Linked DNA regions of Arabidopsis thaliana. The protein of the gene in region 2 interacts with the protein of the main gene of each other region in a pairwise test. Each region holds a gene or a part of one and is shown on either strand. Other genes may lie near its edges.

Region 1 (6,061 bases), on a different chromosome or scaffold from region 2:
GAGGCTTGAATAATGAAGAGAGCAGAAGAAGTGACGGAGGAGGTTGCCGGAGTCTCTGCACGAGACCGAGTGTTCCGGTAAGGTGTGAGCTTTGCGACGGAGACGCCTCCGTGTTCTGTGAAGCGGACTCGGCGTTCCTCTGTAGAAAATGTGACCGGTGGGTTCATGGAGCGAATTTTCTAGCTTGGAGACACGTAAGGCGCGTGCTATGCACTTCTTGTCAGAAACTCACGCGCCGGTGCCTCGTCGGAGATCATGACTTCCACGTTGTTTTACCGTCGGTGACGACGGTCGGAGAAACCACCGTGGAGAATAGAAGTGAACAAGATAATCATGAGGTTCCGTTTGTTTTTCTCTGATTATTAGATTTTTTTGGTGTAAGCTATAAATATTCTAGGGTTTTTATGCAATTTTCTTTTAAGAAAAATCTGAAAATTTTAATTTTATGAAGCTTAGAATTTTAAGAAATGTGTAATGAAAAAAAAAAAAGAATTTTAAGAAATGGGTAGTGACTAAAAATAGCAAAAAATATCTGCAATAGAAAGGGAAGAAACAAGGATCGTTTGTTGTTATTGAGTTATTCTTCGAATCTTTTGCTTTTTTCTACTAAGCAATGTTTGTAACCAACAAACAAAAAGTTCCATAAAACTGCTGTAAAAAAAAATTAACTCACCAAACTCTCTGTTTGGTATTTTGTTAGATATTTATTTTAGTGTAGTAAATCTTTCTCACTACTTCTTTGGACTTGTCATTTTCCTTAATTTAAAGGTACATAAAAGCAACTCCAGCCTTGTATTCTTAGCAATAAAAGTGATTAAATTTAATGAAACAACAAACCTTAGCTAAGATAAACATCTTAATTAAGATGTTTTCTTAAAACTAAGAAGAGTATATGTGTTGTATTTTGAGTGGATAGACATTTTTGAATTGTTGTTTTTTAAGAATCCAATAGTTCTTAACCATTGAAATAGAAATTAGTTAAACTTCCTCCTAACTTTTCTTAACTTAGTAAAAACAACATTTTAATTTAAAATAAGGTTAAGATTCAAAACTAAGAACCAATTGGTTCTAAACCAGTGGGGTAATAACTAAACTTTTTGCAAGTGAAACATCTTCATAATGCAATGCTTAATAAGTAGAGAATTGTTCTCTTGAAACACGTTAAACGCGAGCTCTGTAATGGAGCAGATTGTAATCACTGCTACTTTATTATTAATAAAAAAAAAAACAGCTAGGAAATTTATTTATAAAGAGATAAATTAGGATTTGTCCTATAAAAGGAAAAACCCAACTTAAAAATAATCAAAAACAAAAGAGATTCTGTAAATAAAAGAAGTTACTAAATAATTTTCACCATTTTGGCTTTCCACCAACTTTATTTAGTTCTCCAACGTTCCCATGCCTCAACATGTTGATTTCTTCGATTCACAAAAACTATACACAATAAGACAAACAATACATTACTTTCCCGACAAGAAACTGTTTTTACCAACCTTTATCATCATCATGAAGCATGGTTTAAGTCTGTTTGGGAAAGAAGACTGTACATTATTTTTGTAAATTTCAATTGTTCGTCGTCGGTGATGATGGATCATAATCATAACTGTCACCAGCTTTCACAAATCTTCCTTTCACTCTTTTCCTCGTGTCAGCTCTTGCTTTGCGAGATGCATATCGAATCTGTTTCCCAAAACTACAATTAAAAAAAAAGAAAAACACCATTAAACCTGATCCAAGTTGGTATAAACTCTGTTTTGTAATGATTAGTAATAAACTTACGAGCGCTTTAATTTCTTCTCCTTGTATCTCAACTTAGCCTCGTTTCTTGCTTGTGGACAACTAACTTCAAAATTCGTTTCCCATGGCGCTTCACTCATTATAAACCCTGGAGACATCCCACAATCCTGGTAATCAGCTGCATTGTTTTCACCAGTGATGTTAAGAGATGGATGGATTTGTCCGAACAAGACAGGTGATAGAGGAAGCTGAAGTCCAGTGTTGATGTTCATTTGCTGACCTGGTGGCGATGCCTGGAAACAGAATAACACAATTTATATTAGAAACTTTCTTGAGGTACTAGAAACTACAACAACGACAACAAAAAAGCGAAAGAGACCTCTAGAGCCTTGTCTACAGTAAAGTTGGAGCCGGTAAAGCTGGATGTGTTAGTCTTGTCAATCAATAGGCAATTTGGTACCGTATGGTCCGGTTCTATGTGTACTTCTGATGAACATCCGATAATATCATCTCCTACGTCAAAGTTTAATGGTGCATCATCCAAGTTAAGCCCTTCACATAGATCTTCTTCTCCTTCTTCAAGTTTAAGAACCATATCAGGATATCCCTGGAACATACACACAAATAAGAACTGTATTTTTCATCAAGAACTTATAAGGAACACTTTTCACTCCTTTAATTATTACCTTAGATTCCGTGGAAAAGAAAGACAAATTATCACTGAAATTCTGAGTGTAACTGATGTTGTGTGGTACCATGGAATAAGCGGTATCGAACATGGTATTGTTGAGATCATTCAAGGGAAAAGAACCAACGAACGGACTAAGCAAGCCGGAGACAGGAGGTTCAAGAATTGAAGACCACATTCTGTTAAAATCTGTAGGAGAAGGACAACCAGAGAAAGGATTCAAGCTCTGAACTCTGTGTCCTAACTCCGAACAGTTGCTTTCGTGCCAATGACATCCTTGGCAGTATGAAACCTTCTCGTCGAGACAGCGGATTGCGGCTGGCTGTGAGAAGCATTTCTCGCAGATCAAAGAGCGTATGTGCCTGTGAGACAGAGGATTCGCAGAGTGTACATGGACGTCGCAGTTTAGGCATAGTTTAGCCAAATCGGATTTGCAGTAAATCAATGCTTGCGAGGTTGCACAATGGTCACACTTTGGCTCCATACTTGGAGACATGATGATTGGGTAAACTTAAAGAAAAGTGTATAGAGAAGAATCTGACGTTGATATTGTTTCACGATTAGTAAAACACACGTAAGATCCTGCGCAACATAGATGCATGACCATTTCAGATACAAATCATGGAAGGAAAATGATGATTTTGGAATTAAAGATGGTAATATATGGGTGCATCATGCATGATAGGGTTTTGTGTTTCAATTACATTAATTTGTGAGGAAAAATATCGTAAATTGTTACGTTTCAAATAGAAACACAAATGTTTTTGAGAGCTAATACGGAGGAAGAAGCACTCACTTATGACGACCGAGATCGATTAGGCCGATTCACAACCTTTTTCGTAAAATGACGAGAAATTCAAAACCCAATAATGGGAGATTACAGAAAAAAAAACAGATTACAATCTAAGAACAGAATATTTTTTGAATCGAATGAAATGTGAAGAAGAACAAAAAAAGAGTTTTTTTACACTTTTACAGTGGTGTGCGAATCACGTAGAAGAAAGAGAGGTAGGGTTGCTTCTTTTATACCTTGTGAAAACGTGTGTCCACGCGGTTAAAATCCACGTGGCGTAATTATGAGCCTTGACGTGATTTATTATGAAGACATGCATAGGTAATTGTGATTATATCGCTTGTCAAGATAGTACTATCTGATTTTTTTCTTGCTCGATAGATTTTGTGCTCTGTGGCAAACCTTAAAACTCGTTGTTTCGGGTCGATACTAGCTATTACTAGTGTTACTTACTTGTGGTTCCCAATAAATTTATTGATATCGTTTATACGTGTAATACATGTCGTAATTTACTTGAATATTGAGCCACGTACGTTTCTTTTTCGAAAATATGTTCTCAACTAGTTTGAAAGAGTTATCAGTTTTTCTGAATTGTGTGATGTCTTTTGGTATCTCTAACATTTGATATATAGATGTGAGATCATTGAGTCATTTCATTTGAAATAGACTAGGCCACATCAACTTCTATATTATCATCAGTTTAATGTACATGCATGTATAATGGCTATGCAGTTGACTCTTGAATAGAAATAAGTTGTTAGCATTTCTAACTTTTTGATCAGGCTACCCTCAAATTTTGGGATTCCTAACCTAAAAAATGTTGTCAGCTATTTCGTAAAAAATTTGTTTCTAAAAGAAAATTGTAAAATTTGAACTAGTAATTATCTTTTGATATAATCCTCAAAGAACTAACTTTTCTTTTTAAGAAGTTGCACACCAACCTAACTATTTAAAAGGATACAATTTAAGAAAAAAATGCCTTATGCAAAGAAAATGATATATAGATTTGATAGATAAAAGTAAGAAACATGATAACTATTAACGTAAACAAAGATAAATGAACTTCAAAACAGAGATAAGAAAAAATGGCCACATAACATTATATGACCTATGCATAAACTCTCCTTATCAAAACATTAAACATGTATGCAGTGACCGGCAACGCGTATGCCTTTTTTCAAATAATGTATCTAACATTAATTTACATCTATATATAGTATTTACATCAAGAATATATTCCAGCGTATGTAGTAAAATTTGTGTACTGTGAGACTTTTCAAAGGAAATTGTACCGGACGAGAAAATTATGGACCAAGACCCGGAAACTTAATTTTGGGTAATAATGCTAGTAATATGCAGAAAATTAAGTGGAAAATAAAGTTATTTGTTTGATAAATGATAACTAATTTCATTGCTCAAGGTATACAAAAATCATCGGAATCCTATCTTCTCGCGAAGTGACACGTGTCAAAACCATCTCACACTCGTCCAAAGTCAGACGAAACATGATAACATCCCCACGTAACATCTTAAGCTCATCGTATCTCAACCACCCAATCTACAAGCCATATATACCCAAAACGAACTATACAACATGGCCCATTAACGAAAACTGAAGAGAACCCATGTTAACCGCAGCCGGAGACGATGAACTGGACCCGGTCGTGGGACCAGAATCGGCAACGGAAGCAGCCACTCCAAGAGTGCTGACTATAATCTCCCATGTGATGGAGAAGCTCGTGGCACGAAACGAGTGGTTAGCTAAGCAAACTAAGGGATTTGGGAAGAGCTTGGAGGCGTTTCACGGCGTGAGAGCGCCGAGCATAAGTATAGCTAAATACCTTGAGAGGATATATAAGTACACAAAATGTAGCCCGGCATGTTTCGTTGTTGGGTATGTGTACATAGACCGGTTGGCTCATAAGCATCCTGGTTCTTTGGTTGTCTCCTTGAATGTTCATAGACTCCTCGTCACTTGTGTCATGATTGCTGCCAAGATACTAGATGACGTGTAAGTAAGCCTTTCTTGAATTTCTATAATATCTTGAAATTAGACTAATCATGAAACTATAGATCATAGTTGTATCTTAATTGATTAACAAAATGAAAGATACATTTTATATCTAACCAATATAAAATGAGGACAAACTTTGTACCTATATGTATGTTAAGTGCCCCTTTTAAGTTATTGATTTCAAGGTTTCAACATGTATTGGATGAGATAAGAGAGGTTTTCGTTTTTTCTAACAAATTTCATATTCACAGGCACTACAACAACGAGTTCTATGCTCGGGTTGGAGGCGTAAGCAATGCAGACTTGAACAAAATGGAGTTGGAGCTTCTCTTTCTTCTTGACTTTAGAGTTACTGTGAGTTTTAGAGTTTTCGAGAGCTATTGCTTTCACCTCGAAAAAGAGATGCAACTAAACGACGCCGTTTCTTCCCTCAAAGATATTCAACCAATGCAAGAAAGTCTCTCTCCAGCATCTACTTTATCATCTTTATATGTTTGATATATGTATATGAATTTTTTTAATATAACTTTTAACTGAACGCGTTTGGTTGACAGAAAAAGTTTACGCACTAACTATCGAAATTTTATTTATATTTTGAAGAAATTATCTCAAATTTTTGCTAGAGAAAAATAATTGAAATCTCAAACTATGTATACTAGAGATTTTACAATGTAAATCTGTTAAGTTAAATAGTTTGTAGATTTCAACTAAATGATATAAGCTATTTTTTCCTACATTTTGCACATGTTGTTTTGTTCTTCAGGTTCATCTCTCTATTTTCTTCTTTTCACTGTAAAATGATACTCCATGATGACTTAAGTATCCAACA
Region 2 (5,275 bases):
TAATTTCTCTAAATCCATCACTCTCAACCTCATCATCTCTATGATCCAGTTCGATAATTTCGCACTGCTGCATGTTATACACGGATTTGTAGAAACCGAGTATATCATAAGGGTGTTGCGAACTTTTCATCTCGTCTTCACTTGGATCACTAACGAACTGTGTCCCCTCAAACCCTAAACCTTCTCTTGACTTCTCCATACCCTCTTGACCATTGTTACTTGCACCGCAAGTTCCATCACCAACCACGGGTTTTCGCTGACTCTGATCGTCATTATTGCTCAACGGAGCTGTTTGAGGTTGATCACAGACTATACAATCAGAATCAGAATCTGAATCAGAATCCGTATCCGAGTCTGAATCTGATCCAGAACAAATTATATCACTACTAGACGAATCATCATCGGAATACGGAATCACAACCAAATCCTTATGAAGAAACTGTTTAAGAGCTTTGCTGAAATCTAAAAGAGATTTAAAGTAAAGAAGATGAGATCTCGCTAAGTGATAACGAGCATCTCTAGCTGCTTTGATCAATTCCTTCCTCTCCTTACATAGATTCAACAATGGAGTATTACTATCTCCCTTGGAAGCAACGATACCCATTAAACCCTCTTGAATGATCTCTCGAAATCGGTTAAACCCTAATTTGATTTCCTCGCTTTAACAATTGATATTTCGTGGATTGATTGAGTTGTTGTACCTTTTGACGACATCACTAAAAAGTAAAAACCTTGTTTGGCAGAAGTACGACTTGATGATGAACCCTAATTAGAAACAAATTCGATTTATTTTGTAGAGCGACGCTGAAGTTAAACCGTGTTTGATTTCCTTTTTTTTGGTTAAGGTTAGTATATAATTTTAAGAAAAGGAATTAGATGAAAAGGAAATTTGTAGCTAAATGGAAAAAATCTCACAGTAAATAAGAAGATTAAAAACAATAAGTTACATGTAATTAATGTATGGGGGCACGTTATATAATTGATATTAAGATCAGCTAATGATGGAGTGTGTAAATTAAATTTCATTGACACTACAAATATATTTTCGCAATTCCTTACCAAAAAACAAATATATATGAAGTTATTTTCTTACAGTACAAAGTTGATGTTTTGATACTTGTATCTTGTAGTATCGAGATCTTGAATTTTCATTATGGAATTTGGTTGACCAGTTTGACAAATAAAATGATGCACCTCTCATAGAGTCATCGGTATCCCTGATAAAAAGAATCAAACGTGGAATGGTCCGAATGAATAAAATCTTAGTGTACATATATATAAATCATATAATTTGATAGAATTTATGTTGAAAATGTAAATAATATGTATTTTTATCAACAAAAAAATTTAAAATTATTATAATTGGGTTGATCACCCATACTGAACAAATTTAACAATTTCTATTGTAAATTTGTAATCCACTTCTCTTTTTAATAAATCTTTAAAGAAACTTGCAAAAGAAAACATAAATGGAAAAGAACTAACAAAAAATAAGGAGTAATTCGTAAGATAGATGTGTATTGATTCGAGGCTTCTTCTAAGTTGTTCTAAAGTTGTCATCCACAAACATTTAAAAGTAAAAAAACAAAAAACCATAAAACTCAAAACACCTCCACTCATCAGCGCTTTTTTAATGCATGTGGCTCTCAAATGAAGACATCTCGTGTTCCTTTGATTCTTCACAATTCACACTTCACCCTTTACACCACTAATCTTCGCCACGTAAAAATTTCTCAAGCATGTTACGTAGGCCCAACTTTACCATTTTTTTTGTTCTTATATATATTTTACGTATTATTTGTTATCCTAAAATGACTTTCAATCCATCTTTGCTAGTCTTAATCTCGATTTCGTGATACAAATTAATTCCTTTGATCAAATGAATACAAATAATCAAATTAATTCATCTTTGATCATAGATGAATTAGTTTGTTCTATGGATCAAAACCACAGATCAAACTCTATCATACAAAAATCGTTGTGATTTTCTTTTAAAAACTCACAACTGTAAACATTTGAAATGACAAAAAATATTTGTCTAACTACAAGCTTCTTAGCTATCTATCTATCCTGTTTTTTAGATAAAAATTCGTAATACCTTTCATTTTTTTAATCCAGGTTTAATAATTTTTCAAATATATATTCTATATTCTTTTTAATTACCATTAGCAAATAACAAGTAATATATCGAATTGCCAATGATGTGAAGTAAAAATGTAAAATTAGTGGTTGGATTTATTTATTTATTTTTATTTAGAGAAAAAGACATTTAACTCGAATTATGTAAAATATGGAACGCTAAAAGTGGTTGATAAAATCATAAAATTAGGTTCTTCTCCTAGTAACCATGTTGATTCATGGACACCAAAATTTCCGAACCCAAAATGCGATATTAAAAATCCGATCATCATTATTATCCTACCGTAATACCAACGATATAAATGATATTTAATTCACTTTTCATTTTCGAAAACAAAACGCTTGGACCGGAACGAGAGAGGAATACTGAAAAAAGTAAAAAATGAAAGAAAAAAGAGTGGACCCATTAGACGTGTATTGAGGACCAGACAAATCCCAGGTGCGGATCACGTGGTTCTAAGTCTATTACAGAACCTGATTCGTCCACGTAGGATAACTCAGAATCTTCCCTCTCCTCTATACGAGGCTAATATCTCGCCACGTCATTAACTAAAAATCTAACCGCATAAAAATATCTGATGAAACATAAAACGAATAATATCTCGACACGTAAGACTTCGCCCATAGGAGAGCCTTGTCCCAGTACATGGTTTCAGGACCAAGTAAATAACAACATTTCCTTTAATTTTTATTATTATTATCATCTCTCCTAAATTTAAGAATTCGAGAATAATACTCAGCCGCGGAAACCTTAATCAATTTCAAACACAGATTTAGAACTACTAATACAAAATTATCCACAAATTATCCACCATAAAAATTAAAGTTTGAACGAATCCTTTAATCTTATTCTAATTTAAAATTAGGAAGCTTCTTTGCATTTCATTAAAAAATTACGTGAAAAATCGTTTCGTTAATATCAAAAAGACGACAATATCCTCGAAAAGAATTAAATCACATAAAAGTCGCCACGAAATTCTCATTTTACAATTCTCTATTACGCTGTCTCTTATTCGTGTCCGCAGAAGAAACGAGAGAAGAGAGAGAAGCAAAAGACCTTACCAAGAATATTTATAACACACAAACATCTAGAGACAGAGATAGACATAGAGAGAGAGCTTGTGGTTGTGGTTGTGCGAGATAATATCTAGAGATGGGGAAGAAGAAGTGCGAGTTATGTTGTGGTGTAGCGAGAATGTATTGTGAGTCAGATCAAGCGAGTTTATGTTGGGATTGTGACGGTAAAGTTCACGGAGCTAATTTTCTGGTGGCGAAACACATGCGTTGTCTTCTATGTAGCGCGTGTCAGTCACACACGCCTTGGAAAGCTTCTGGGCTGAATCTTGGCCCAACTGTTTCTATCTGTGAGTCTTGTTTAGCTCGTAAGAAGAATAACAACAGCTCCCTCGCCGGGAGGGATCAGAATCTTAACCAAGAAGAAGAGATCATTGGTTGTAACGACGGAGCTGAGTCTTATGATGAGGAAAGCGATGAGGATGAAGAAGAAGAAGAAGTGGAGAATCAGGTTGTTCCGGCTGCGGTGGAGCAAGAACTTCCGGTGGTGAGTTCGTCGTCTTCGGTTAGTAGTGGTGAAGGAGATCAGGTGGTGAAAAGGACGAGACTTGATTTGGATCTTAACCTCTCCGATGTATGAATATGAATCTTTTTCTTTATCTTCTTTTATTATTAGGAAATGATTAAGAAATCTGAAACAATTCTTTTTGAAATGCAGGAGGAGAACCAATCTAGACCATTGAAAAGATTATCGAGAGACGAAGGTTTGTCAAGATCAACTGTTGTGATGAATAGCTCAATCGTGAAATTACACGGAGGGAGGAGAAAAGCAGAGGGATGTGATACATCATCGTCGTCTTCGTTTTATTGAAATCGCCAAGGAAAGTAGAGATTGTAGCCGTTGATGATTCTTTTGTTTGGTTGATTAGATTAATCCTCATCGTTCATTTACTAACAACAATACTTTTAGTGAGTTGAGTTAGTTTAAAAACATTTCAATATAATGATTTTTTTTTGTGTTTTTTTTTCTGTGTTACCTAGAATATATATGTTCATATGTCTAGTATAAAATCATATAACATAAAAAATAAAATGAAGCAAAGTTGTTCAGAAAATGATTAAGAAAATGAAGCTGTTTTCTATTTATTTATTTTTTAACGAAAATGATTAAGAAAATTAATTAGTGAAACAAGAGATATTATTATAAATTTATAACGTGAGAAGGATTACCAGCCAAAACCAAAATTTATTATGATGTCAATTTTATTTGCCTTCCCAGAACTAGAAGTGTCTGTGTCATTGTGATGTTACAACTGAAGAGTACATAACGTATGAATGTCCGTTAGCTTTGTAAATTGTAACTACGACCACTAAAAAGAATCAAACAAAAAAGTTGTCAAGACTTAGAAAAAAGAAGATATTTAGTACCATGGGGTCCTCCTTTAAAGTTTTTTTAAAAAAAATTTATTTGTCAAACGCTTTGAACCCATCGTGTCTTTTGTATCTAAACCGTGTTCGAAGCTCCAAAAAAATAAAAAATGATGCTCTCATGATTTATATGTAACTAAATAAATTGGTTTTATTTCTAATTTTGAATCTATTTGTTTTGTGAGAAATGAGAAGATCCAAGTTTTTGGTTTCTTGATCGTATATGATAAATACAGTATACAGTAATTCAATTCATGGTAGTTAGAGAATTGGACGGCGAATGTCTACCAGATATTTTATTTATTTAAATTGAATGAAAGTAGTGAAAACATGTGGTTCTCATTGCATCTCTTTGCAAAGACCGATCATTTAAGCCGTCTTCAAAATACTAAAATATGAATATAATAATTAGAGATCATAATTTTAATTTAAGGTTTACACTTGGATAAATACTTGCGGATACGATGACATCACCTTTGAGTTAAACTTCCTTTCGAAGTCAGAAATACAAAAAGTCAACCCCAAGCATTAATCCACGAGTCTCTTTATTTCATTATTAGAGTTTAACATTCATGTTTAATGCATATAAACACTTCATTATCAAAGTGTTGGACTTTGTTCGTTAAATCCCAAATCATTTAGCAACCGATTGAGTTTGTTCGATCTGTTTTATATGTCTTTTTAGCCATATTTA
Region 3 (5,591 bases), on a different chromosome or scaffold from region 2:
TAGAATTGCCCCAAGATGAAGAAGTCCCAGGACTTCTTGTTCCTCTCAATTACCGAGTTTGGGATTTTGACACAGAGCTCCCCAGAAGGGAGAGTGAAGGAGGAACCTTTTTTTGCGAGCTTCTTAGCAGAGCCCTTAACCCGGTCCACCCAGAGCGCGGAGCCCGAACTAACGGGTTGAGATCCAATCACTGGAGCCTCCACCGGAGAAGTTCCAACGGTTATGCCTTGCTCGGCAGGGAGCGGAGAAGACAAGACAGACTTTGGTGGCAGCTGAGCTATCACCCCGACTTGAGAAGAACTGACCAAGTCTGTCTCATTGACAGTCGATTGGTCTAGGGAGGCTGAAGACAAAGCACTATTTGCCTCTGAATTGACGGACGTCGCAACACCGGAGGCGGAGCCATCGACGGTGGGGACAGGCGCACTTGCAGCAGACTGCGGATCTGGAGTCAACACTAAATCCGAGACTGGGGTCAGTGACAGATCTGAAACCAAAGAAGGATGAGGTCTAGAGGCAGACTCCTCCCTAGACCGAGCGGCAACAACACGGCTTTTGCTCACGAGAGGAGCAACAGCGCGAGCGTAGACTGCAGCAAATTTAGACGAACCAGGGACAGCCCCTCTAATGGGCTTCTTTTTCTTCTTCGGCATGAGAGCAGGAAGAAATTTCCGACCACCAGCGTGAGGCCGGCGTCGGGGGGAGAAGAGGGGGCGAGAAAACTAGGTCAGGGAGAAAAAGGAGAGAGAAAAAGAAGAAATTTCGGCTTCCAACTTATTATCGGTTGGTACCAAGAAATTTCGTTCTTATGTTGGTATCAAACAAAACTTGTTTGAAATTATCCATCTTACCAATAATATCAAACACCACCAATATTAACATTTCTTATGTACCACAATTAATAATGGGTCGTTGATAACGATTTGATGATATTAACGCTTATAGATATTTGGTCCAATATACGCTTGTGTGGTAGTTAGTAGCCATTTTCATCTTTTAGCTAGAAATTAAGAAGAAATTGGACTATACAGAAAAAAATGCGACATCAATTGGCAATGACAATGACAATTCACGGAAAACTTGTTCATTCTGCATATTATAGTTTGCTGTCTAGCCATTTTTGTGTTTGAAATCCCGATTCTGATTCTTTTAGGATAATATAGTGTTACCAGATATCAAAAAGTTTTTCAAATAGTTTAAAACTATTTCTTATTTTTTAGAGTTCGTAAAGATGATCAATCGATTTTTTTTAAGAGAATCAGTTTTTTGTTCTTATGTTCGTTCCATGGTAAACATGTTTAAGATAGAGTAATTTAACAATCAAAATGCCTTTGCAGTTTGCACATTCTTATTACCAGATATATACATCAGTGCTATCAATACAAGTAAAAGTCACATTATTATTGGTTACTTCTATGTACATACAAGTCCTCAAAGCACAATTAAGTGCCAAAATAACTTCTGTTGTTTCAGAAGAAAAAAGATTCACCGAAATTTGTAAAGTGAGATATAACATGAATAGATATTAACTATTCAGTAATTAACACCTAATGGTGAAGCAGCAGCAGCGAGCGAGGCTCTCTTCACGAATCTTCCTTTCATTCGTGGTCTTTTCTCTGCATTCAATTTACGTACCTCGTACCGTATCTTCTTAGAAAACAACCTTGTCCTCCTCTTCTCTCTGTATCTCGAAACTCTAGCTTCTCTACCTCCATCTCCAAACCCACTTGATGGTAAACATCCACCAACGTATTGCTTCTGATGAGTACTTTCTCCTCCATTCTCCACCTAAAACATATTATTTCAACTTTTAGAAATTTGAGAACAGTAAACTCACTTTTATTTGAATTCTATAAGAATGAGGATTTTAAATAACGTACCATGGAAAAGGCTGGCCAACCGCTGATGTCCATGTCTCGTTCCGGTGGCTCTCCTGAACTCCACGGTGGACCTTGACCTCCCCAAGTGGATATCACCGAGTCATAGTTTAATCTTAGCATCAGAACATTCTTATGTTCTTCCTCTTTCACCTTAACAACACATTCACCACTACTTTCAACGTTCTTCATTACCTCTTCTTCGGACGTCTTGTGTGACGACTCGTAATCAAAGCTTAGCTCAAACGGTACTGTTCCATCCACGTCTTTTCGATCATCATCAAATATATCCATGCTCATGGCTTTTATCTCTTCTACTTCTTCTTCAATCTCATCTTTTTCGATTTTGAACATCTCTGAATTAGATAACCCTAGCTCCTCCATGGCATACGACTCCGTGTCTAACCCGCGACCGAGCAGAGTCTCCACGTCAGCAGCAAACTCCTCAAGCTCCATGTCGGTCGGGAAAAATCCATTAAGACAACTTTCAGCGTTGTCTTCCTCCTCCTCGATCATCAAACCACTTCTGATCATAGGAAACTCGATCTTGGGCTCAACGACATCGTTCAAGAACTGCTCAGACACCAACGGATCTAGAACCGGCACTTGACAGATCAGCTGCTCTTCAAGCTCATAGTTGTCTGTCTGATCCTCAATACTAATATCAGGAACCAAGTCATGAAATATCGACGAATTGTTTTTCTTACCAGAGCCACGTGGCGTTCGAGCTTTACGAGTAAACCCGTGATGCCACGTGGCGACCTCATGTGGAGGAGAAGCTGATGAGTGGTTGCTATGCTTTACGACCGCCGGGCTAGCCGTCTTCAAACGGACTCTCTCGTGGCGGCGAGCAAGAGGGTTTGCTGAATGGACCAAACTGTCGCAAGACTGGCAAAGAAAAGCATCGTCGGCCGCGCAGTACCACCGTGCACGTCTCTTCACGCAGCTGTCGCAAGCCCTCGCCGTCTTCGCTCCAACAGCATTCGCCAAACTTTTCATCATTGTATACAAAGTCTACACAACCAACATCAACGACAAGAGCACGAGAGCTTTGGTTTTGAGATCAATCTCAATTATTGAATCTTTTGCTCTCTGCAAAAAGTTAGATTTAGTGTAGTCCTAGAGAGTTTGAGATTAAGAGGATGACCCGCATGAAGCGCATTCCCTTTTGTGTCAGTGGATTTTTGAAGTTATAAGAAAAATTATGTACTTTTTGGGTGTTTATGTCTTCAGTTAGGGACCCATGACGAGGCCTTATCTGATTTGTGATTGGTTGAGTTCTGAAGATGATCTTCGTAATAGTGTTTTAATTGGTCAGCTTCTTTATCCATTGGATTTCTTGTGTGGTCTACCTTGTCGTTTTCCTTGCCCAATCACTCTTTTTTTTTTTTCAATATTCAAGACTTTTTGTGATTTTTGTTATTTCTTTTTTCCTTTTTTTAGTAGCAAAGGTTTCAGCTTTGACATTTTTTCCTTTTCTTCCACCATTTTTTTAGAGACTATATAATAACTACTAACTTTGACTATGGATAAAATAATTTTTTTAGCTAAATAGTTTTTCTCCAATTTTGGTAATACTTATCAACAAACATTGATTCACTTTTTAGAAATCTGAGAAATATCTTAGCAAAAAGCATTGATTCAATTTTTTGAAGTTTGAAGTTGAAGGAAGATTTGATTGGATAGAAGTTTTTAAGCTACAATGGTTGATTATTTGATTAAACAAATAAATTTAAGAAAATGAATGTGGAGATTTATCATAAATGATAAATTGGTACAATATTTATTATTAATTATTCTTATTTTGGTGCACCATGTGTTGCCAGGTTCATTTATCTATTGGTTAGTCTTGTCCAATAGAAAATATTATTATCAACACAGAGTTAATTATAGCTATCAATATAAAATCATAATAAAGACTACTCATGTGATATGAACTATTACCTAGACAAAAGTGATATCCTCATTTGGAGAAAGGCGATATTGTACCCAAGAGAAATATGGTAAGACAAAAGGTAAGTTTTATTTAGTAAATAACCTTAAAAATGCGTAATTTGTAATTTTATTTTCATCAAAGATAATAGTTTCACGGGTGATATTAACATGTATTCATTTTTAGTAACATGTTTTATTCATAATGTCGCATTATTACAATTCAATCACATATGTTATCATCATGTCAACTATACCCACTAATTACTGGTTAGCATAAGGAAAAAAGCAATTAGTAAGCATAACTTTATTGGTAACATGATTAATAAGATATTTCATGAAAACAAAATTACATTTGTTTAGGGTTATAACCTAAGTATATGATTAGAATTATAAATTTGCATTCACATTCCATCCAATCTACTTATGTTATTGATATATAGATGTACATTTGATGCACACAATTAAATGTAGGAAGCCTCATTATCATAAGAAGAACGAGCAGCCACTATTACTAGGATTTTAAAATCGAAAACATAATACTATATTTAAATGACAATATTTCCTATTTCAATAGCAAAGTGAAATAAAAAAAAAAACTCAAATGGAGTTAATACCACTAAACTACGATTAATTAATGACTATGGATCCACTAATATTGAAGGCTAATCAGTTTGGTTACAAAGTATAACATTAATTCTCACATATTATTTTACATGAACAAGTAATTTTTTGGATTGTATTTCTGTAGAAAAAAAAAGAAAAAAGTGAAGAACATGTTGTTTATTAGAGATGAGGGAGGACTGATCGAGTTACGTAAGAGGCCTTTATCACTGGGCTAAATAATGTGTCGGCTCAAAACTCAAATATATATGGGCCGATATAATTAATAAAATTCTGCAAACGAACTTTACTTTATAAATTTTAATACAAGCCCCATAATTCGAGCCCACGAATCCCTACAAATTCTTACGGAAACCGTAAAATTGAAACTGAGACATATGTAGGTTCAAACACCCTCGTTAATAAAAAAATAAAAAAATGGTATGTACTATACCTTCGGTATTAAGTTTTGACCATTCACTAAACCAGACTCATTGGACATAAAAGAACGAAAAAAATAAAAGGAGAAAAACGAGATGTGATAGAAGATGGGCCTAGCCAGGTAATTAGCAGAAACTAAAATAAAAGTATTGGGTAGAGAGTAAAAGCATGAAACCACATGCATAGACTACGTACACTCTACGTAACAACAAATTGCTGCTTTCAGTTATTACAAAATTAAAAGAACCGCCCACGCCTATTGCAGTTGCCTATCCCAATCCAAATTATAGTTGTGAACTTGTGAGACATGACACCGTATTTTTCTCTTACGCCTTCCATAAGTTTCACTCAATCTTTTTCGGTGAATTGGAGATGGGCTGATGATAGCTCATTTGGTTATCAAAAACTCTTTAAAAGAAAGTTAAGTCCTTATTTCTAGATCCCAATGCTCGTTTGGAGAGAGATGGTTTAGTACTTTGAAGGTTGATTATTGCATCCAATCTATCCTATGAAACTAATTCTTTATATCTAAATAAGAATCCTATAACTCATCTTAAAATGGTGCGGTTTGGACACAACCCACTAACTTTTTACGTTTCAGTATTATATATGAAGATGTCACCCAATATTGATACAAATTAAACCTTAACATGAGTTATTGAATTTACACCTTAACATGTATAATAGAAAATCGGTCACTTGGTCAGGGACCATAAAAAAATTATAAACCAATAATAT

What was found.
Region 1: the proteins of BBX29 (region 2) and BBX10 interact in a two-hybrid assay, tested with the Arabidopsis thaliana proteins (one large-scale study listed by BioGRID).
Region 3: the proteins of BBX29 (region 2) and BBX15 interact in a two-hybrid assay, tested with the Arabidopsis thaliana proteins (one large-scale study listed by BioGRID).

The regions. Positions count from the first base shown.
Region 1 is NC_003074.8:7,703,596-7,709,656, reverse strand, and holds BBX10 (B-box type zinc finger protein with CCT domain-containing protein), read right to left. Parts: upstream 3,401-6,061; 5' UTR 3,222-3,400; intron 3,008-3,221; 5' UTR 2,922-3,007; coding exon 2,424-2,921; intron 2,345-2,423; coding exon 2,117-2,344; intron 2,031-2,116; coding exon 1,780-2,030; intron 1,694-1,779; coding exon 1,564-1,693; 3' UTR 1,548-1,563; exon of another isoform or gene 1,467-1,547; intron 1,435-1,466; 3' UTR 1,311-1,434; downstream 1-1,310. Other genes in the region: BBX31 (B-box type zinc finger family protein), read left to right, coding at 1-359; CYCP2;1 (cyclin p2;1), read left to right, coding at 4,844-5,229, 5,484-5,730.
Region 2 is NC_003076.8:22,113,333-22,118,607, reverse strand, and holds BBX29 (B-box type zinc finger family protein), read left to right. Parts: upstream 1-3,068; 5' UTR 3,069-3,292; coding exon 3,293-3,787; intron 3,788-3,871; coding exon 3,872-4,024; 3' UTR 4,025-4,304; downstream 4,305-5,275. Other genes in the region: AT5G54480 (hypothetical protein (DUF630 and DUF632)), read right to left, coding at 1-604.
Region 3 is NC_003070.9:8,932,406-8,937,996, forward strand, and holds BBX15 (B-box type zinc finger protein with CCT domain-containing protein), read right to left. Parts: upstream 3,140-5,591; 5' UTR 2,880-3,139; coding exon 1,881-2,879; intron 1,789-1,880; coding exon 1,534-1,788; 3' UTR 1,311-1,533; downstream 1-1,310.